3 linked regions of the Tamandua tetradactyla genome follow. The protein of the gene in region 1 interacts with the protein of each later gene in a pairwise test. Links are inferred from orthologs where the notes say so. Each region holds a gene or a part of one and is shown in the gene's direction. Other genes may lie near its edges. The genes, in order: NAPB, STX6 and STX16.

What was found.
Region 2: the proteins of NAPB (region 1) and STX6 interact in binary tests that used the Homo sapiens proteins (3 or more experiments, as listed by UniProt). The two-hybrid records come from large-scale screens. The link is inferred for Tamandua tetradactyla from reciprocal best matches to the Homo sapiens genes NAPB and STX6.
Region 3: the proteins of NAPB (region 1) and STX16 interact in binary tests that used the Homo sapiens proteins (3 or more experiments, as listed by UniProt). The two-hybrid records come from large-scale screens. The link is inferred for Tamandua tetradactyla from reciprocal best matches to the Homo sapiens genes NAPB and STX16.

The regions. Positions count from the first base shown.
Region 1 is NC_135327.1:36,697,821-36,705,634, forward strand, and holds the start of NAPB (beta-soluble NSF attachment protein), read left to right. Parts: upstream 1-4,780; 5' UTR 4,781-4,860; coding exon 4,861-4,958; intron 4,959-7,814. UniProt on the Homo sapiens protein: Required for vesicular transport between the endoplasmic reticulum and the Golgi apparatus.
Region 2 is NC_135330.1:35,928,263-35,935,739, reverse strand, and holds the start of STX6 (syntaxin-6), read left to right. Parts: upstream 1-4,411; 5' UTR 4,412-4,673; coding exon 4,674-4,708; intron 4,709-7,477. UniProt on the Homo sapiens protein: SNARE promoting movement of transport vesicles to target membranes. Targets endosomes to the trans-Golgi network, and may therefore function in retrograde trafficking.
Region 3 is NC_135327.1:26,691,308-26,699,185, reverse strand, and holds the start of STX16 (syntaxin-16), read left to right. Parts: upstream 1-4,811; 5' UTR 4,812-5,623; coding exon 5,624-5,755; intron 5,756-5,834; exon of another isoform or gene 5,835-7,878. UniProt on the Homo sapiens protein: SNARE involved in vesicular transport from the late endosomes to the trans-Golgi network.

The DNA.
Region 1 (7,814 bases):
AATAAAAGTTGTGTCATCTTTACATTGATGCTCTTTTGCCATATTTAAAAGGATCCTCAAGTTAACCTCAAACCTTTCTTGTAGAAGTGAACATCAACTAATAAAAAGAATAACATCAACTAATGGCATCAATAAATATTTTCTCATAAATTCTTATTTTAACTTAGTTTATCATTTTCTGTTTCCTCTGACAGATTTGTGTATATTAATTTTACCTTTCCTAAATTTTCATCTAAATTCTAGAGAATCATTTCCTAAGGAAATATTACTTGCTAACAAAACTACATTTAGAAGTATTTGTAACAAATTTGATATGGTCTAAAATGACCCCCCCACCCGTCACCACCACCACACAAGCCACTAGTGCTCTGAGTTTTTAAAAAAATTCTTAATAAAACACATATTCTTCTCGACTTCCCTATTCAAATGCTGCTGGTTTTGCAAGTCCATGTGGAAAAGGTAAAGAATCACTATGAATAGAATAAAATTCTATCCTCAAAGCTGTGGAAAGGGCAGGAGCCCAGCCTCATCCACAACAGTGGAGAACATTTATTTTCATTCATTTGATCACTTTAAGGATTTTTGGATGAAGCTCCTCCAGAACACATGACTATCTTCCCTGTTTGCTAAAACAGAACACAGCCTGATTTGGCCTGTACTGAAGCTTCTGAGCCATTCCCCAGGCTACAGACAGAGAACCAAGGTGGGGATGACCCTAGGGCTGCAGGACCGTGGCAAGAAGAAAGACTGGTCCTCAGCCTGGTGGTCCAGCTCCAATGGATGGGGATGGAGGCCTAGCTAGCTCTCACCTAACTGGGTTGGCTTACAATATCCACAAATCCTTTGGCACTCTCCCACTAAGAGATGAAGTCTAAGTTCCCTCCCCTTGCATGGGTCTCAGTGATTCCTTCCTTCAGTGAAGTAGAAAGAGGCCTCAAAATTTCAAGGCCAGGTCTTAGCGGGTGGCGCAGCTTCTGTCTGGCTCACTCTCCTCCTACCCCCTGTCCAGCCAGATGTACAAGATCCCACAGAGAGAAGGAAGCTGAGGGATTGTTCCAGGAGACTGTGTCTTCTCAAATGTCAGGCATGGGCATGAAGATGCCTTTGAATTTACTCTAGCTCCAGCCACCGTTCTATGGGAGAACCACTCTGCTAGCCCAGCCAATCCCTTGAACCATAAGCGATAACATTAAAATATGATTATTTCTGTTTTACACTACCAAGTTTGATGGTTTGATGGCGAGTTGGCCATAGATGAGAATGCCGATTTATGAATTTACAAGGAATGACTGGACAGGCAACTGGAATATGCCTATGGGTCTTTAGCGCTCACTCCCCCTACCTTAGCTTATGACTTCTCAAAGGTGAAGAGGCATGAATTTCCTGTTGAATGAAGTTAATGAAACCCCCACACCTGCAGCATTCAAGCAGAGGCCAAAGCAGACCCCCAGGGCAAACGGCAGGTGCTGGTAGCTGGGACGAACAGGCATGGAGCTACTACGTGTTAATTAGGGGCAGAAGTTTCTTCCTGACTATGGAACCAAAAGCTGGCCAGGGGGATAGATTCCTGCATGAAATGAGCTCAGTTAGTAGCTGCTGCTGGATCACTGAGAAATGGGAGCGTCCCACACTCAGTTCTGAGGAAATAATTTGTACCTGCTCTGGATTGTCAGGATACCAGCCTCCAGCAGTTCCAGAGGCACCCTACATTCATACCCTTTGCCCTCTCCCTCCTTGTTAGACTTCCCTTAGGCCCCTCCCCATGCTGCACCCTCCTATGCACGGATGCAGGCAGAGAATCACACCTGCTTCCACACATCTTCTGACCCTACCTCTCTTGGCGCCAGGTGTGCTCAAGGACACGCATGTCCTTATAAGAAGAAGAAAATTTGGACCCAGGCATTGGGGAGAAAGCCATGTGAAGGCCAAGGCAGAGATTCCATGCAACAGCTAGCTGCAAATCAAGGATTGCCGAGGATGGCCAGCCAGCACCAGAAGCTAGAATAAGCCAGGGAGGATTCTCCCCAATGGGTTTCAGAGGGAGCGTGGCCGTGCCAGCACCTGGATTTCTGACTTGCAGCCTCCAGAACTGAAACAATGCATTTCTGTTATTCTAAACCTCCCGGTTCATGGTATTTTGTTACAGCAGTCCTTCAGTCAGTGTCTAAAGAGTCTCCTCTTTTCTGGCAAGTGTCCAGGGATGCTGGAAGGCCAGCACAGACTACTGGACTTAATGTAATGATAGAAATTACCTATATTTGTGCAATCCAAAGTGGGAGCCACAAGCCAGGTCTGACTATTGAGCGATGGAAATGTGGCTGATAGAAGTGGGATTTACATTTTTAACGTTAATTAATTTAAGCGTAAACCTAAATGGTCACAGGTGGTAAGTGGCTGCCCCACGAGACTGAATGACAGGTCCTTTGGCTCTACTCCAAGACAACTACCACTCCAAGGCATTTTCACTCCCTTCCTCCCGTGAATGGGGCTTCTCCTTTTCCCTCCTGCTTGCAGGATTCTTCTTCTGTCTCTCTAGCCAGTCCTTATTCTGTTTGTCTGTCCTGCCTCTCCACTTACTTAGCCTCTGGGCGGAGAAAGCACAGCATCCACAGAGCAATTAAATCTTTGAAGTTTTCTCCCACTTTGGTGTGTACTGGGGGTAGGGGTAAAGGTGGGGGTTCCCTCTGGTTTCCTGTGAGAAAGAACAGAGTGAGGAAAATGCCCAGAAATAACCGAAATTTTTGAGCCACCCCTGCCAACCAAAATGGCAAATTCTAGTTCAGAGGAGGCAGTCCATTCTAGATCATTTTAAGCTGACAACAGATTTGAAGATCTAGAATTGTGTGCTTTAGAATAGTGGTGGAGAATTCTTTTTAGAATGTACATTTCCTAGACTCAGGGAGAGGAGATTCTGGTACAAAGCTAACAGCCCAGGGGTCAGTGTTTCTTGAAGCTCTAAAGGAGTTTCTGTGTTGAGCCAGGTTTGGAAACTGCGCTAATCCCCACACTGAGACCCTCAGGAGTTTTTGAGTTGGCCCTTCCATTCAGTACCCACCGGCTGCTCTGCTTTTCAAATGCCTATGTCCTTCTTTTACCATTTTCTGTCTTTACTTCTGCATTTAATTCTGCCTTGTTCCCTCATACTGCTCCAAATGCAGGTTTTTGAAGTTAGCATAATGCATATAGTGTAAGCAAATAAGCTCTGCTTGAACATCTGAGATTTCCTCCTGTCTGCCGTGTCTTGCAATGTAATGTTAAGTAAAATAAAGCAACTGCCTGCATTGGGCATTGCCAGGAGGGACCCCTCTCTAAGAAAGGATTTTTCAGAAGACATAAAATGATTGACCTTCAGGGGCTTTTCCAGAAAATGGAACAATGAAGCACACCCTACAGAACTGCAAATAAACAACACCTGGTGATAAACCAGTTTCTGTCCAATAAAGTTCGTTTATCAGAATGGACTTTCTGATAAACCATATTAATCAATGCATATCTGCTTTCATCCCCCATGTAAAATGGAAATTTAATATCAGTCAATCAGAACATTTCTCCACTTGATTCCCCATTTGCCCTATATAAGCAACCTCTTTCCACCTTCTAGGTGGACCTCCTTTCCACCTGCAGTTTGGATGCTTCCTGACTCATGAATCATAAACAAATCAAATAAACTTCCATAATTAATAGCTTGTCTAATTTTTTTAACAATATGAATCCTGTGACACAGGTTTTATTTTTCTTTCTAGGAGTTTCATCTTTTCTTGCTTTGCTCTCTAAAGACAGGCTTCATTTTCTTAGATAAAGCTTGTGTGCCAGTCCCCACAGTGTATTTATTAATGGTTTGAAATTGTCACAAAGTCTCATTTGGCAGTGATTTTCATATTTGTTTCACCATCTCTGCTTTAGCATTGCCAAGTGTAAACAGTCTAGACATTGCATTAAAAAATAACTCTCTGTGGGTCAGGTCTGGAAATCTCTGGCACAGGAGAGCCGCTATATCTATAGAGACTTCTAGGAGGTTAGAAGTCTTTCTGGCAGGCAGAAATTTTGTCCCAAAAGACCCACTGCCTATGGGCAGCGTTATGTAAAGGATACAGGAACTAGATGGTGAACACAATTCAAATCAATATAAAGAGTGGATTATGCATATTAAATGCCAAAGTATTTATAACCAAGGAAGAGAGGACAGACAGAAAGCCGCTTTGGGGAGACTTAAAAATAACTGAATTTCTATTGGGGGAAAATGATACATTCTTAACCATCTTGCTCTTGAGAGATAAAACTGGCTCTGCCAGCTGTTGCCTTTTGGGTGGGTGGATGTGGGCATCACATTGGCTGATGGAATAACTTTCGGTAGCTGCATTAAAATTTTGGATTCCATTTTGCGGACTTTGCATCTATATTGAGAGTTTCGACCTGTATGTATCCCCTGATCCTTCACTATTCCATTGTCAGTGGTCCTGAGCCAACAGGATGCTGTGTGTTTTAGGTGGTCCTTACTGGAAGCTACCGGTCAATTCCCAGGGAGAACAGTGGTGGAGCCGCTAGAAGGAACTAGTCCCCGCACACTGCAAATACTGAAGTCCACCTAGGCCTCTGGGTCCTGCAGCAGGTCACGCCCCGCTTTCCGAACCCAGAGAACCTGGGGTCTGTGAGCTAAGATAACCCGTCCGCTCCGTGGCCTTCTGGGAAATGTAGTTGCCCCCTCGCGTCTCGCGGCCATCGCGGCAGTGCTATGGATTACACTTCCCGGCAGGCCATGCGAGCGACGCCTGCGCACTCGGGTTGCGAGGAGGGAAGCGGTATCGCGGAGGCTCGTCGCGAGCCGGCTGAGGAGCTTGTGGCAGCTGCGGCGGCGGCGACATGGACAACGCGGGGAAAGAGCGTGAGGCGGTGCAGCTGATGGCGGACGCCGAGAAACGAGTTAAGGCCTCCCACTCCTTCCTCCGAGGGCTGTTTGGGTAAGTGCCAGTCCGCGCGCGCCGGAGGGGCCTCGGTCCCGGGACCGCTTCCCCGCAGATTGCCCCCACGTTCACTCCAGGACCCACTAGCAACCCTCCAGATCCCTCCAAGGTCCTCAGCCCCATGCGCCCCCAGAAATCCCCATGGAGAACTCAAGTCCCCCAAGACCTCCAGACCCCTACGAACCCCCCAGGGCTCCTTCGGAGCTTCCGGCCCCCACGCCCTCACCCCTCCCGAGACGTCCCGGGGCCCTTCTAAACCCCCTCGTGTCCCCGGACCTCCAACCCCCGGTGCGTCCTCCGGCCTGTGCGGGCCGTGCGTTGGGATGGGATTCTCTGGCGGGGGGTGTCCGCGGCGCCCGGGCGCCCCCGCCGCCTGGTCGAACCCGCTGTACTCTTGGCTGCGGGGCTCCGGCGGTCATTTGGAAGACCGGTGCTCGACCCGGGCCCCGGGGCCTCAGGAGAGCAGTGCGGGGCGAGAGCACAGGTGGGTACGTCCGGTCCCCGTCGAGGGGTTCCGCATTTGGGGATCAGGTGCCGGTTTCCCTAGCGCAGGGGACCTTGCACCGAGTGGTCACTTAATGAACACTGGCTGAGTAGGCGAATGCGTTTTCCCAGCATAGTATTTTTTTTTTTTTTACTTTATTAGAGACTGATTTAACAGATGGGCCTCCTGCTCGGCTAAGGATCACGCAGCTCAGGTTTAAGTCAGTTTCTTTCGGGAAGCCCGTTAATTTGCTGTAATTCTCTCCTCTCCAAGAGGAGGTTTAAATTCGGGACCTCTCAGATGCAGCAGCGCCTGCACTGACAGCCCTGGGGAGAATTCTGGGCTGTTGAACGTTGAGTGATTCAGCTATTTAGGATGTGAGAGGCTGAAATTTCTTGTTTTTTTCCCCCTTCTTTTTGAAAGAGCCTCTGCTGACACCGAAAGCAGATTATTATTTATTCCTGAGAAGGACCAGTGTTGTACATGCTTACCCGTTGAATTATTAGACACAGTTTTATTTCTGTACAAATCCAGTTTGGAATCTTAGTTCCAAAAGCACAGGTAAGGGACTCCTCACTTTTTGTACCACCTTTGTGGCTACTTCTTCACAAAATGCTTAAGTGCAGATTTTATATAGTGTGGAGTAGTGTGGGATGCAAAGAGAGGTAAAGATAATGTTTCTGTCCTCAAGAGCCCCTCAGTTGGAGGGCACTTATCCCAACTGTTTTAACTTTTTCATGACTGCAGGTACTTTAAATTATGACAGTGAATTATAAATTTTGTTTACTTTTTAAATGTATATAGAACACAGCCTAAATACTTGAAGTCAACACCAAACATAACTCCTTTCTCTGCGTCACAAAACATTTACAATGTATTGAAATAAAATTGAATGTCATACACCTCATCCTCGGAGGTTATCTTAATGTCACACCATATTTCAGGTCAGAATGTGCTTTCCTAGGAGGGAATCTGCAGTTGGTAAAAGAGAAAAGCTCAGCATAACATCACTTGATGCTTCTCTCAGGCTTCCACTCCTTTTTATGAAGAGGTATTTTGTTGTTTTTGTGAAACTAAGTCAAATCTTGAGCCAGTAATCCTAAAAGATTTTTTGAAAAGCCTTTTTTTGGTTGTTTTAGAGAAACATCTCTTTTTCTCCGTAGACTTTTGATCACCTATTTCATAGACAGGCTGTCCAGGAAGACTTTCATCTTCACCGTTTACACAAAATTTGAACTAATGGCGTCCCAGCTTACCTAGACAATAGGTCAGGGATGTTATCCAAGCTTTGACTTGGGGCATGTGACTTACCCTGTGTGTCTCAGTTTCCTCTTTTGAAATGGGAATAATAGTAATAATAGAACATCTCACAGTTGTCAGAGTTCAGGAGTCTATGTGTGTAAAATGTTTAGAACTGTGCCTTTTGAGGATGATTGTGAAAATATTAGTTATAATATTCATCAAAATTGCCAGTCCCACTTTTTATTAAGGAAGCAACTGAGGGCCAAATGGATTAAGGGGGGTTTCTAGGATTCCAGAGCGAGAGACTCTTAGGACCAGATCATTGGTCTTTTAAATGAAATAAAAGGAGTAAAAGAGTTTTGCAATCAGGTAACATACCATATAGGTATTATTTGTACTATAAAGACTGTATGTTTCCATTGACACTTGGCTCCAGGAAAGCCAAGGGGGAGGAAAAGTACTTAGAGCTGCTTATTCATGAGAAGGGACTAGTCACCTATGTCTTTGGTGTGTGAGGCTGAAGTCCCGACTTGCCTGCCTGTTCTGTGAGATGCCAGGGTTCTTCCCGCATTGCCACCTGCTGAAAAAGAACCAAAGTAGACGGAAGCCAGCCAGGAGCCACTGTGAACAGGGTCTGTTTTTCCAGTTAACTACTGGTTGGTTAAACAGTGATAGGTCTTTGTATTTGTGGAATTAAATGAAAACTTACTTTCTGAAGGATATACTTTCTGAAGCATAGTAAAAATATTAGTGTTGTCATGTACTTTGTGGCCATAGACAAAAACTAAAGAATTCTGTAGTTAATTGCAGATTTTCATTAGAATCTGCTAAATTTTCATTTAGAAGCTGCTAGTAGGATTTTAAACTAGTGTGGGACTTTAAACTAGCGTGGTGGGTAGTTTTGGATTGCTAAGGGCTCCCTGAGTAGTCTCTCCATTTTGTTCCTAAGAAAACACAGGTTGTAGATCACCCACAGGATGATCTAAGAAAATAGTTGCTTGAGAATGATGGAATCTTGATGGTCAATCCTATTTTCCTTTGCTTTTGAGTGTCCTCCATTTTCAAAAGTTCATAAAAAAGCCATAAATCCATCAGTCTTGGTGTAAATTTAATAAAATTCCCCATTG
Region 2 (7,477 bases), on another chromosome or scaffold:
AAAGGTGCCCCTGCAACGATAGAGTAAAGCGCTCTGCACGTCATTATATACCTGTAAACAACGTTTACAGTGACCATCAAATAGATACACCATAAATTTTCCATCATGTCCTAATGTTGGATATATAAGTTGACTAGAATTTCTCCTTGTTTATTTTATGTCAGTGTGTAGAGTGTGAGGATGGGGGTATTGGCAGCAACCAAGGGGAGGAAAGAAAACATACCCAGCATGTGGCTATGTGAGGGGACAGTTCCTGCAGTGGGGGGTGGGAAGTGTGGACAGACTTAGCAGGATCACTAGAAGCCAACAGGACCAAATGTTTCCTGGACTGTCCCAGAACAAATACCTACATACATGCACATCACAGTTTTTCAAAGGTTGGGATAATGATGAAGAGTATAATTCCTTATTATCTATGTAATACTTTTCCTTCCTTGCTCTGCCTTGTTTTAGAAAGGAATTACGGTGTTTTGCAAAATGCTTTCACATATATCCTCCCAGCTGATCCTTATGACAACCTAACTAAGGAACAAGTTGGGTATTATTGCTCCCATTTTAGAGAACGGAGGGCCCCTTGTAGGGGTCTTATGGAAATCCCACACTCGTGGGGGCGAGGGTGGCTACCTGCCCCCATCTCCCTCAGGTCCATCCTAGCATACTTTGCAATAAGATGTGATTTGATCCTTTCTGATCCTTGTCCTCACTGGCTCCGTGGCCCGGCCACCTGTGCCCTATTTTCTGCATTGGCATCCCCTTATTGCAGCACAAGATGCCTTGCAGGACCCCAGGAAACTCCCTCCATTGCTCACTCTCCTAATTTTAGAGATTCACTCAGGGCCCAGAGGTTCTTCTGGATGCCCCTGTCAGGCCTCTAGAGAAAAGTCAAGTTGGCATGTCAGTCTCCTCCAGCAAAATGAATGAACTTAAGTGCTACGGTTTGATAATATACACCTTTATCAAGACCATCACCCCAGAAAGTTTCCCTTCCAGTCAGCCTCCTTTCTCCCCACCAAGCAACTCTTTTCTTGATTTCTTGCTCACTGAAAATGTATAATTCATTTTGGGGGGATGGGGGGTGGGGTAGGTCCATGGTTTTATGCTGAGTATTCTTCCCAAGCTATTGTTCATGCCTGGGCCTAGTTAAACTAAAAAGGCAAGAAATGACTTCCTTTATTTCTCCTCGCTTTTTGGCTATAGCTTCCCTTTCCCTGGGCAAGGGAGGCCAAGGTCTAGATTGAAAGAAGGTAAGGGAGGGTGACATATTAAACAAAGAGACACGTTCCTCACCCCCCACCCTACCACCCCCATAATACATTTTATATCTCAACCCTCCACAATCTAGATTGTTGGCACTTTTTCCAAACTCCGAATTATGAACATTCTGTAGGCCTCTGTCCTCAATCCTCTATTTCACTTATTGTAAAACTCGGACCTCTCGTTTGTGATCCAATTAATAAAACTCATGCAACAGATAATATGAGGCTGTTCTAGACATTGAGGTGATAACATTATAAAATAGTATCCCCTCTCTCCAGGAGTTTCCAGTTTAGTAGAAAAGACCAAATATGCTAACAGCTAATTTACATCTACCCTAAATCTAATCCAACTCCAGTGTTCTCTTTCTTGGGTGAGTGGAGCTAACAATTACCCACTTACAACGTAAGAATCCTGCAAGCCTTCTTTCCTTCTCTTTCACTAACTCCCGCATACCCCCAACCAGTCACCAAGCTTACTACCCTAAAATAATTCTCAAATGTATCCCTCCTTTCCATCCTACTTGCTGTGGGCCAAGCTCAGGGCACCCCTCCCCCCTCCCCTGGGTCATGACTTCGCAGCTGACATTCTGATTTTGGCAACACCTGTGTCAAGTGTGAATCTAAACCTGTCCATTCCCTCCGTCCCCGGGAGCTACAGGAGAGTTCTCAACAACAGGATCAAGGGCTCCCATCATCCCGCCCTGCCCACCTCCAGCCGCAGCTCTGGCAGCCATCACCCCATCCCTTCCACTCCAGCAATGCCCCCTGCATGGCTCCCTTTCTGGCCATCAGGCTGCTCCATGTGGTGGTGCCTTTGTTTAGAATTCCTTCTTCCTGGCAGCCCCGTTCTCCTGGCTGCCTCCTCCCCCCACACACAAATAAACGGGTACCTTGGCTCTGTGTTTCTATGGCAACCTGTGCCCTTCTCTCTCTGTGTCTAATTGCCTGCCTCTCCCACAGGGCTGAGAGTTCCTTGTTCATCTTTGTATCCTCAGTGCCTGGCACATAGTAGGAGTTCAATATGTGCCAGGCCACGTTTAAACACCTTTCACACACCAACTAATTAAATCCTTGTGACACCCTATGAGGGAGTTATTATGGTCCACATTTCACAATGGAGTATGGTGAGAGATTAAGCAACTTGCCCAAGTGTTGTGGATTGAATCATGTCCCCCACAAAAGGCCTGCTCAGGTCCCAACCCCTGGTCCTGGGAATCCATTTGTTATTAGGTGAGGTGTACCCAAATTGAATGAGTGTGGATTTTAATACAATATGGCTGAAGTCCTTATAAGCAAAGAAAATTGGACACAGAAAAAAAAAAGCTACAGGGAAAGAAGCTGGAAGACAACTGAACCCAGAAGAGAAAGGAGAAGACACCATCATGTGCATTGCCATGTGCAGTAAACCAAGGACCCAAAGATCGCCAAGAGCCAGCTCCAAAACTCCAGAGGCTGGTGAGAACCCATCTCCTTACTGACACCTCAATTTTGGACTGCTCCTAGCCTCAAAACTACGAGCCAATAAATTCCTGTTTTTAAGCCAACCCATTGTATGGTATTTGTTTTAGCAGTCAGGAAACTGAAACACCAAGGTATGACAGGAAGTAGCAGAATTGGGATCTGAACGTAGGCGGTCTGGTTCCAAAACATGCTTCTTAATCACTATGCTCACTTGCCTTTCAATGCAGCATTTTTGATGAATGAATGAATGATGCTTCATTTTCACTTCCATCACCATACTTCCAACACCAAATAGTTGCCTTTCCCCACATCTGCCCCTTGCTTCTTCTCCAGGGTTTCAGAGAAGCATAGAGTCATTTTTGACTTTCACGTCTCTCCCTTCCCCACCCTCATTCAATCTTTCCTCATGTCTACATGTTTTGGTTTTTTTTATTCCTTTGAAACCCCTATCCAATTTACTCCTTCCTCTTCATTTGCATTTGTTATCATCCTGGTCTGGCCCTCATTCCTTTGTGACCTGGTGACCACAGCAGCTTCCTGACTCACATTAGCATCCTGACTTTACTCCCTCACTCTTCTGGAGTGTATGGTTCTTATGCATTCTTATTTAATCCTCATAACAAGCCTTGAGCTAGGTATTATTATTTACATTTTATAGATGAGGAATTGAATCATAGAACCCAAGTTCAAATGGGGTTTGTCTGACTCTGAGGACTCTGCCATCTGCAAAGAGACTAGTGACCTCGGGTGAGTCACATAACCTGTGTTTCAGACTTCTCACCTGCGAAATGGGCATAACAACAGGAATTTTTACATTGTGAGAGCAACTGAGGTAACACTTAGCACAGTCCTGTCACTCAGTGATTATTAGTAATTAAAGTCGACAACCCCCATCCACAAAACCCATCGCATATCTAGCATATGAGCTGGCTAATCACCCTGGCCAAATGCTTTCTGCAAAAACTTTTCAGGGGAAGTTGCATATCTCACCTGTTCTTAATCTTCCAAAGTTTCTTGCTCCTGGGAAGCACTATATGCTTTAGGAAAAAATTATCTTACGTAGCCATTTGCAAATGTGTAGCAAAAGGAAATACACCCCAGACTGGCGGAAAGCGCACAGAATCTGTAGCTCAGCACTGTGCAGGCTGTGACCACAGTAAATTTTGAAACCACTCTTTCCATTTTTTTCTTGTCTACAAAATGGGAATAATAACTGCTTCTCCACAAGAATATTGAGATAATACATACTACAACCTTTAGCACGTAATATGGTAAGAACTACATAATCTTGCATAACATTATTATAATCAGATAATATATATGACCATGCCTCATTGTAAACTGAGGAAGAGATGAATTGACAAATCATATATTATCAAAATAAATATTAAAAGGAGAGAAAAGGTAAAAGGATCGTGCACATCAGGTACCACCACTGCTTATCCTGAGAACAGGACTGACTTCAGAGCGAGCTGCTCTTCCCCCTCCAGCCTGAGAGGGGAGGTGGGGGCTGACCGCCCCTCCTCCGTCGTCCCCAGAAACCCCGCCCCCAGGGTTGCGTGGTGCTGAGTCCCGACTCCGTCGGCGAGGGGCGGAGCCGGCCCTGATCACGTGAGCGCGGGTGCGGAAGTGGTGTTGCGCGCCGCGTTCCTGGTTGGCCCGGGCTTAGAGTCCTGGGGGCGGGGCTAGGCCGCAGGACGCGCCTGGAGGAGCCCGGGTAGAGGCTGCCGCGGGGGACGGCGCCAGAGTCGGGGAATCCTCCCGGCGTCGGCGACCAAGTGCTGGTCCAGCGGCTGTCCCGTGCATCCCGACTTGCGCGCGCGCCCGCTGCTCTGGATTCCCCAGGCCGCAGCGCCGGAGGCTGCCCTAGGCCAGTGGGTGGACGGAGGGAGGCCAAGGAGGGCGCGGGCGTCCTGTGCGCCGAGCAGGCGGGAGGGGACTGGGGGCCGAAACGCCATGTCCATGGAGGACCCCTTCTTTGTGGTGAAAGGGTGAGTGTCGGCCGAGGGCTGCGCTGGAGGAGGGGGCGTCTGTAATGTCTACCTGCACCTCTCCGCTCCTCTCGCTATAGGGGGGAGGGGAGGCAAGTTGAGACTGGGGAGAGGACTGTGGAGACGGCTTGGCTTTTAGAGCCATGACCAAGAGTCTAGAAGCATCCCCTCCCAGTTACACCTGGACTGTGGAACTCGCGCCTCAACCACGCCCCTGGTGGGGGGCCCCTTCTGGCCTGGGCGCTGCGGCACAACTTTTTGAGGGCTCGAGGGGTTCAGCAGCTCTGCAAGTGGGAAGGGAGCACGAGTCCTAGCCATAACTAGGGTTCTGGAGCAGGCGACTCTTTTCGAAGAAGGGAAAACATCATCTGGGCAGGAAAAGGGAAATGGACCTTCTGGGCTTTGTAGTTAACGTGGACGGGGGTGAGCTCCCATTGTCCTTTGAGCTCGGAGCTCCCGCCCGCACACTGTGGAGACCACAACATGCCCAGAGGCGTCTGAGCACGTTTGGAAAGAGGGAGGCGGGGACGTGTTGCACCGGAAGACAACCTAATTCTGTGGGGGAGTTTTTACCGAGCACGGTTATGAGAGGAAAACAGCCGTCCGTGCTCAGTGATGTTGTTGAAAGGAAAACAGAATGAAATCAGCCAAGCTAAACTTTCCTCAGCTTTCTGTTAGCAGCCGGGATTTTCCCACAGTGCTAGAGGAAATGAGTGGTTTCTTTTAACTCCCTGATTTCAGCCAGGCTGTTTCATAGGTTTCCCCCATTTCTTCATATTACTCTTTTCAGAATAGAACTGCCTGAATTTATTTTTCCCTGTTGTCTCGAATTCAGCTTTGATTATCCGATGGTTTGTTTGGAGAGGGAAACTTGAATCTCACTCTGTATATCAACTTTATAACCATTAAACAGATGCAAGAAGGATCTGATTCTGTTGTTGTGACATACCTAGTAACTTGTCAGTTTCATGTTTTAAATGTCAGACTTCAAAATCTGAGAACTCCAAAGGTCCTAGAAGATCAGTACTAATAACCATAAGATGTCCCTTTTGCTTTCACCCATTTACTACTAACTTTTTATTTCTCTAGTGGTCAGAGCTGGGTATTTGTTGTTTTTAAGAGTTCTCTCATCCTTTCTTCTCGGAACATTTAAATGGTACTTTAGGTGAAATATTTTGTTATCCATGATACAGTAAAGTATATTTATACTACTTGTTAACATTTCCCTAGAAGGGTTTTTTTTTTCCATCTTACTTTAATTTAGACGTGAAAATGCTGATATACTGGTAATATGTGGCACTCTACCTGGAAAATTTATTGAAAGGATTGATTTAGGGGTTAACTTTTAAATTTTAAAACCGTATATTTTCCCCTTGAATGAAAGTTATTAATGTGTAGGTTGCAGAGGTTATCTCTGGCAGTGGAGGCTAGAGATCATTGTTAAGTTTGTTTATTTGAGTTTTAATGGAATTTGCGAAAACCCTAAATTGCTCTGCCATCTTGTCCTTTGTTTCCTGACATTATACAATACAGTTGTTGAGTGCTTGCTCAACAATTAGATACTATTGCTGTTTTGGAAAATTGGGCTGGAGTTTTGGTTGACTTTTCTAGTACCTCATTTTACCTTCATGTCCTTAGGGTGTCTGAAGAAGAAAGATTCTCGATACCTTTTGCAGTAGGGAGGTAAAGTCATATACTGGGTTTTGTCACACTGTGAGATGGCGTATTTAGGGAGCCAGGTAATGCTGTTTATTAAAAATACTGAGAATGCAGCATACCTTGTGGAAAAATTAAAGATGCCTGACTTATGGCCCCTGGCTTAGGAGTTTAGTCTGATTTAGGGAAAAAATCCACCCCAAGATGGCACAGGTGGTAAATGATTAAGTGCTGAAGTGAGTGCAGAAAATAAGTGCCCCAGGAGTTCAGAGAAAGGTAACTTCTCAGTATTTTTGATAATTGAAAAAGCATTTTGGAAGTAGTGGTAGGTCTTAAACTAGGTTTTGAAGGTGGGTAGAATTTAGGTAGGCCCATATCTCTCATTTGAACTGTCACCAAAGAGTCTCTTAACTGGTCTTCCTGCTTCCATTCTCTTACCCTTATGATCCACCCTTGAATGGGTCCAGACCAGCTGTCCAATAGAAATATAATGTGAGCCACAGTAGGTCATTTTACATTTATAGTAGCTACCCATGAAGAGTAAAAAAGTAAGTTGTAATGTTTTATTTAACGTAATATATTCAAAATATTATTTCTACATGTGACTAACAAAGATTCTCATATTTTACATCTTTTCCATACTGAGTCTTCAAAATCTCTTGTGTGTTTTACACATACAGTGTATCTTAATGCAGATGCTAAATTTTCATCAAAAAACTTGATCTGTTGTTTGGTTTCATTAACTCTGCAGTTGAAAAAGTAGATTCACTTACCCAAATTGTTACATGACATGTTTAAAAGTTTTACAATAACTTATTTGCATGTCAACTTTAAAATTTAAATTAATTAAAATTTAAAATTCAATTCATTAGTCATACTAGCCACATTGCAAGAGCTAAGTAGTTACATGTGGCTCCTGTGTTAGAGAGCAGAGGTATAGCCTTTCCGGAACTCAGGCCAGGGAGGGTATCTTAGTTCATATCATTTAATGTTAACTGTTGCTTACAGAATAAATTCCAAATACTTTATGACCTGCAGAATCCAACCCCTTTTCTACCTCCTCTCACCTCCGCTCACTCTGCCCACCTTCAACCTCAGTGTTTCAGCAATGCC
Region 3 (7,878 bases), about 10 Mb from region 1:
TTAATTATCCAGTATCCTCTCCTGCAGCATAGATTTAATTTTCTCTTTCCATTCATCCATTCTATAAATGCTTTTTACACTAGACACTAGGTGGCACTAAGCCTGGAAGAAAGAGTTCACTGGGCAGAAGTAGGGAGACTGGGGGATCCTCTAGGCAGAGGAGACCACATGTGCCCAGGTCTAGACTGAGAGGCTGTCCATTTGGGTGGGGTTGTTGGGAAGGTCCTTGACTGCCAGGCCTTCATCCCAAAGGGCTCTCCACCAAGCTGAAAGAGCAGAACGCCCATATGAGAAAATGGGGGGAAAAAAATTTTTTTTTTAATGAATTCATGAGTCTGTGAGAAATCAGAGACATCTTATACTATATTCTCAAACAGCCAACTGGTAGCAGGGACCAAAGAATTAAGAGAAAGTGATGGAAGAAACACTTAAAATGGAGGCTCTTCTATCAGTTAGTTTAATTTTTTTCTGCCAACCAAGAAAAGACCGTCGTTGGTTAATGGTGGTGATGGCCTGGCTTGGTTCAGCAGGAGCACCTGTTTTCTGCCAAGCGTGGTCTGAGACCTGCTGGTGTGAGCCAGAGGGAGCTGTTTCAGGGCCTCAATCAGGCAGTGACATGATCAGATTTGTGCTTTGGAAAGGTCACTGCAGCTCCAGGGTAGAGGATGGATGGAGGGAAAGAGACAGTGGATGTCAGGAGACTGTTGCTGAAACCCATTTGATGCGAACCAGGACTTGAACAGAGGTAGCAAACACTGTGAATTCCTTGAAGGTGAAGATTTTGCTCTGTCTCCTTGCTTTTACCAGCGCCTGGCCACAACGGGACACAGCTGCTGCTAGACTTTTAGAATGCCTACCAAATGGCATTGTTTGGATATAGAAAGGTAATGGAGTCTGGGAAAAAAACTGAAATACTGCCTTACTCTAGGGCCTCTGCTTGGGAAAGGCATTGTGGCAGAAGATGGGCAGAGCTGGGAAATCTCCTAAGCTTGAAAATACTCAAGATTTTGAGAGCTATTTGGAGAGACAGAATGCAAAGCTGCTATTTCCTGAATCTGGCCAGAACTCTGCTGGTATGTCAGATCTGTGGAGATGAGACATTTTTTAGCCTTGGGAACTTTTTCTGCTTATCTTGATAAAAAATGACCATTGGCCCTCCTTTAGGATCTGGAAAGTACAAAGTTAAAATACATCCATTTGAGACCATGATGTCCCAGCTTCCACCCGAGGGTACATCATAGACCCATCTGGATTTCCAATCAACAGAACAAGAATCTTGAAAGTGTCCTTGGATGGCATCCAGTTCCCACCACCATGCCCTCCACTTTGGAGTTTGATGTGGTATCTTCCAGAGGAGGCAGAATGCATGTGTGCTTTCTATTGGCAAGACCACTCCTCAAATGAAGCACACGACCCACTTATGGAGTCCTTGTTATACGCTGGCCTGTGGAGGGGCTTCAGGAGCCCTGTCTTAGGAAAACATCTTCACCAAAGGGTGTGAATCTTGCATTTTGTCTAATCACTAACCTGTCAGGACTTGAAAGCCTTCTCCTGCCATTGTCTGTCTTCAGCAGGGAAAGCCCATGTTTATGGTTCCCTTCAGCACTGATTAAGATGGCAAAAAGACAATACAACACTTGTCCCCAAAAGTGACTTCTTGGATCATCAGCAAAATGTTAGAAAGTGGGTACAAAGCCCAAGAAACAGGACACCGAGGCTCTTTAAGCTCAGGGAGTATCACAGAATCTTATCCCAGGCCAAAAATGAGTCACAATGAAAGCTTTTAAAATATAAAACCATCAACCTAGATTTCAATTCCAAAGAAACACATACTTGGCCATGAGGGAACGCTTAAAAAAAAAGAAATCAGTCTTAAGCCACTCCACAGGAAAATAAAACAGCCAAGGAACATTCAAATAAAATGATTTACACCCTTCCCCACCTCCCCTCCAATGTGAGTCCAGGCGCCCATCGACACACTTGAAGCCAGTATGCACACTGGCTGAGCCACCCTTCTTTTCACTTAACACTATTTCACGCACACAACCCCGGGCCTGGACTGGGTTATAACTGCACAGTGAGACCCTTGGGTTGCTATGCCAATCTCATGGATTCTCCATGATTTCTCTGCTGTTGGGCTCTTGGGTTGTTTGAGGGTGGCTGTTTTGGGAATATGAGGATTTTTTTTCTTCCGTTATTTATGCGTGCAAGCACTGTTCATTTCTCTCCAAGAAATGGAAGCTTGATTGATTTCTCATAAGAATGAGATTGTCCCACAATAAATATTTAAGGCTGACCAGGAAGGGCCACCACCATCTGCTGAAACACAAGCCCAGGAATTACTCTGTTAAGCTTTCCAAGCAGAGGGAATGAATGAATAACCACCCTCTACAATATTTGCTCAGCACCTGATAGTTTACAAAGCATTTTCACTTATCTCCTTTGATCTTCACAATAGCCCCAGAGAGGTAGGCAGGGGACGGATTACAAGGATTATTAAACCCCACATTTTTTCTCTTTCTTAACAGATAAGGGCTCCACAGGCTCAAAGTCACTTGAGGAAAGTCATATAGTTTGGGGACTAAATCTCGGGTGTCTCATTCATTCATGCACATTTTTAACGTTGATGAGCTGCCTGTTCCAAGCCTGATGATCTAGCGGTGGGTACAAAGATGAATAAAACACAGTCCCCGCGTTGGAGGAAGATGGGGTTCTAGCCTGGGGAAAAGAACCAGAAGTAAACAAGTCACTGCTTTGCTTGAGGTGATGAGTGCTCAAGAGAAAGGAACAAAGTGTGGAGAGCATTTCTAATCTCATGTTCTTATTTACAAATACTTGTTCTCTGAAGCAGGAAACAGGGGGGCTTGCAGTTTGACTCAAATCAGATCTCACTATGGGGGATCCTGTGCCTGTGGGAACAGAAGTCTCCTTCATTCGGCATACATTTCCTGGGGTGCTGGGCTAAGCCCAGAAGTCCATGCACAGGCTCCCCGAATTTCCCTCTAAGACACATTAAGTCGGGGTCTCTGCCTTGATACCGGCCTCTCCATCTCCCCTGCAGGCCCCCTGCAGTTACACGCAGCGGCTGCCAGTGGCTGCGGGGTTTTGGAGCATCTTCCACCGCTCAGGATGATTTTCCCAACAAGCGCCCCTTTTTGCGCGCGTGTCTCCCCTCTCCCCCAGCTCTGGGAGACATTGCCCCTTCCTGGAAATTAATTCGCTCGGCCCAGCTCTCTGGCTTTCTCGTTTCGTTTTCTTTTCTTTCTTTCTTTCTTTTTTTGGTAATGCATTTTTGATATTTTCCCCCAATATTTTTAAAAATTAATTTTTAGTTACACAACCAATGGACAGAAGCATTCTCCTTTAAAAAAAGAACGTATTCTGTCACCAGCAATTTCGCTGAAGCCCCTCCGGGGACCCCGGCGCTGCACCCGGGTCTTCCGGTACTTTCCATCGCAAAGACTCTAGCGGCTCACTGAGCATCAGCGGCTCGCCCCTCGCCAGGCTGGGAGCTGTTCGCGAGCCGCGGATGCAGGCTTTGTGCTTCGTTTTGCTTCGCTCCTCTTTGCAAGCCCAGACCTTAGCACACGGCAAAAGCTTGGAACAAATACACGTGTGTGTAAAGTTGAATTCAGAAGCAAGTGTATGAATGAGGGCCTGCATCCAGATTCTCCAGGGCCTGTTTTTTTAAAAAACAAAAACAAAAACCTCCCTTCCGAGCCCTGCCTCGCAGCACCGTCGTGGTCCCGGCTCCGCCGGGAAGAGAAAACCGTCCCTGCCCGTGTCCCCGGCCCCGCTCCCCGACCCCGACCCGCCGCTCTCGGCTGCGGCCCCGCGGCGCCCGGCGGGTCGCTGGAAGCCAGGCGCTGGGAACCGCCACAGGTCTCCTCCTCGCCCCTGCTCGCCATACTCGGGCTCGGGCTGCTCCGCGCAGCCCGATTCCGCTCGCCCCACAAGGCAGGCGGCATCTCGGGGCGCAGCAGCTGCCCCCGACCGGGTTTGCAGGAAACCAGCGCCGGGGGTCTCAGCCTAAGGGGAGGAAAAGGCGGGCGCAGAGGTCCCCGCCTGGCCAGAGCTAAGGGGAGCGCGGGCCCCGGGCCCGGCCCTGCAACCGGCACGTGCGGGCCCACCCGGGAGAGAAAAGTCGTAGGTTTTTCTTTTGGGTGGGAGGGGGGAGGAAGGTGTCAAAGTTTTCGGGGGAACTTTTCCACTTCAGATTCCACAACCCTGCAGTGCCCCCTACAGAAAGTGGCAGCTGGGGCGGGCGGGGGCCCCTGACCCCCGACTGGCTGCCGCGTCGCTGGAGGCCGCGGCCCAAGCGGACCTGCAGCTCGCCCTTCCTTTTTTTTCCCCCCTTGTTGTTTTACGGATAAATCTTTTTTCAGAACAGAAAAAAACCCGAGCGAGCCGCGCCGCCGCCTGCAGTGGAGCGTGCTCGGCCTCCAGAGGCAGTCGTCTCCAACTTTTCTCCTCCTCACTCGCCCGCACGCCGCGTGCTCAGCGAACTTAGGCTCTGCGGGCGCCCAGATTTGCCTGCCGCGCAACTTCCACTCTTAACTGTAGGCGCCAAGGCCCCTGGCACGAGTTTGCCGCCTGGGGCCCACACTTTCGAGGCTCGGGCCTCCATGTTCGCCCGCTCCTGGTCCCCGGGCCCGCTCGGGGAAGGGAAAACGGGGCGCCCCGGGAGTACCCCGGGAGAGAAGGCGGAGCGCTCCCGCGCCCGGGGCTGAGGGACTGGGAGCTCCCGCGCCCGGAACGTTGCGAGCAGGGCTTATGAGTGTCGCAGGGGGGCACTCGCGAGAGACGGACAGGAAGAGGGCCAGGGGGAACTCCAGAACCCGGGACCACAGCACGGAAACGGCCCGGGGCAGAACTGCAGTCAGATCCCGGGATGGAGGGAGACGGAGAAGAGGAGTGAGGAGGCCGGGAGGCAGGCCCTGCTGCCTTCCCGGAGGCCGGCAGCCGGCTAGCAGTGGAGAAGCAGGCCGCCCAAGACGGGGGGAGGGGTCAGGAGTTCGGGCCCGGGCCGTAGCAGGCCCAGACACAGCTCAAGAAGGGGGCGCCAGGCGCCCTGGAGTTCATAGCCTAGGCCTGGCTCTGATTGCCTTAGGAGGCCTAGGCCAGGCCCCTGGTGGGGAAACTGAGTCAAGGCCAGGTCTTAGGGCACGGCCTAGACGCTCAAGAGCCACGTTAGGGGTAAAGGGCAGAGATCCTTGAGGGTCTCAGGGACTAAGGGGGGTAGGGGGCTTCAGGGCCTCCCAGTCCAGAGCCGGATTGGCGAGTTAGACGCTTGTAGATCCAAGGTTGGATTGGGGTGGGGGTTCTGGGACGTTGGCTCGCAACGCAAGGATTGGGGGGATTTAAGTGCTTGGAGATCGAAGTTAGGTCTTGGGTAGGGGGAGTCAGACAATTGGAAAGCCTAGGTGGTTATTTGGGGAGGGGTCTTTGCGCCAGGACGAAGCGCAAAGCTGCTCCTCTTTGGCTCCAGGCCTGAGAGGCCTTGTCAAGAGAGGCTTCTGTGCTGGGTGGGCCGGGTTAGGCCAGTCCAAGAGAAAGAAAGTGAATAAATCAGGATTCTAAGTGGGCGGGGGGCCCCTGAGAGGGGGGTCACAAAGGGTGAGACATGGCCACCAGGCGTTTAACCGACGCTTTCTTGTTGTTGCGGAATAATTCCATCCAAAACCGGCAGCTGTTAGCCGAGCAAGTGAGTAGTCACACCACCTCCAGCCCTCTGCATTCACGTAGCATTGCTGCGGTGAGTCTCCCGGCGGCGTCTCCTACACACGCACCGTGTGCACTGCGGCTGTGTCTGTCTGTCTGTCTCTGTCTGTCTCTCTGTTTTTAAAAAAAGAAGATAAGACTAAGAATAATATGGATATGCAAGGCCTCTTGGCTAGGGTCCCTGGATGGGGGAAAACCAGCATTAGGCCCTTGCTCCACCTCTGCCTTGCCCTCTCTCCTCACTTCCGCAGCCCTCCCAGTCCCCCCTCCCGCCTCCCCATCGTCACAGCACGACCGGCTGCCTCCAATTTGCATATGTTGTAACAGTAAGATTTGGAAGTGTGGAGTCTTTCGGAAGGCTTTTTGTTTGATTTGTTTTGCATCCTCTTCCCACCCCCATATTGGTCCTAAGAGCTGGATTACAGGACCAACCGTCCCAAATCCTTGCAAGTGAGCTCCTCCCTCCCTGAAAGGAGGAAAGAGGTTTTTCCGACCGTGGTCTTTTAATGGCCTCGCAGCCCTCTGTGTGGTCGTGTTCCCTATGAATAATTGCTTCACTGTTTTTCCTGGGGGCTCGTGCTTGTGAAACAGTAAGGTGCTAGGCCCTTCAGTTTTCCATTTCCTAGACAGGAAATTCAGCTTTCCCTTCGATTCGAACTTTTTTTTTTTTTCAAAGCATGGTGTGTATGTGAAAATTAACCTCCAAAATAGCACTTTTTTTTTTTAATTAACCTGAAACATCAGCCCAGCAAGTAGTCTTTTGTAGGGAGGTAGGAGACAGAATAGTAATGACTTTGTGTTTTGAGGGGGGCTGTTTTCCTCTTCTGAGTGTCAGTTTCCTGCTCTGTTAAATGAGGGGTGGGTTTGAGTGATGTATACATGATAACAATTCTTAGCTCTCTGATATCCGAAATGGAAGAATGAAGTTGTGAAACTAGTCACAGTAGGGGGAAGACAGGCGAGGTTCGAATAGAAGCAGTAATGCGGAATGAAGGAGTCATCCCAAGACCAGATCCTTGGAGAGGATACTTGATATATACAGCTTTGGGAATCTTACAGTTATTTCACCTTTCAGGGACTGTAGTGCCTTAATTTATTTTTCTTTATGATTTTATCTAAGTGCTGCAGAAAAAATTGTGCCATGTGTCTTGATTATTGACAGAGAGGGTCTCTACAAAGACAGTCTTTCCTTTCACTAAGCCACATGTGGAAAATGTCTTTGACCATATTACTCATGGAGAAAAGGCTATTTTAAGCCTTTGTCAGCAGTTTCAGGAATAAAATTAAGTAAACTCAGGTCAAAAAACAGGAACAGTGTGTTTGAGTTTTTATTTAGTTAAGAATTTGCAGGTTTTATGTATTTATAGACTGAAAGAAATTTTGTATTATACTGAGAAAAGTGTAAAGATGTCTGTTAGCTTGGAAATGGGCTGGTTCCACTGCCAATTTTGAGAATACCCTGAAATAAGCCAAGAAATAAAGGGTAGAAATGAAAAGAATAAAATTCCTCAGTGGAACTTTAGTTTTGTTAAATAAGAAGAATTATATGTTCCTTAATTGGCTTGAGGTTTTTGGCACCTCATGGAGGAAGAAAAACTCGGGTTAATGCTTCTAAGGGCTATCTGGTTCAATTGATTGAAAAGATACTGTTTGCTTTTAAAATTTTAATTACATAAGATTCAAATTCTTTTTTTTTCTTTAAATCAAGTCAAGATGGTTTAAAGACCTGGTGTCTGAGCCAGGCGGCTCTTTGAAAGTGCATCTTTAAGTCAGATCGCTTTTAACAGTGATTTTCTGTCAGACAATTTAAAATACGTGAGCTAATCAAATAATTAAAAACGGATAGCTGAATTATTCAGTTTGAAAAAATTGATATGTCAAAAAATGCACAAATACATTCAGCTAACAGACAGTTTCTTGAGAACAGATTTCTAAATCAAACCATTTTAAAATAGATATGCTTAAGTCAGAACATCAAAAAAAATTTTCTGTATAAGACATACGTTTTAAAATATTGCATACTTATATTAGTCTCACCATTTAAAATCTCAATTCATTAAAAGCAGCCAGGTCATTTATAATACTCTGGTAGTCAGTTCAGACTATCTAAAAAACAGATTTTGCTCTCAAACAAAAGTAATTTGCCTTCATTAGAAT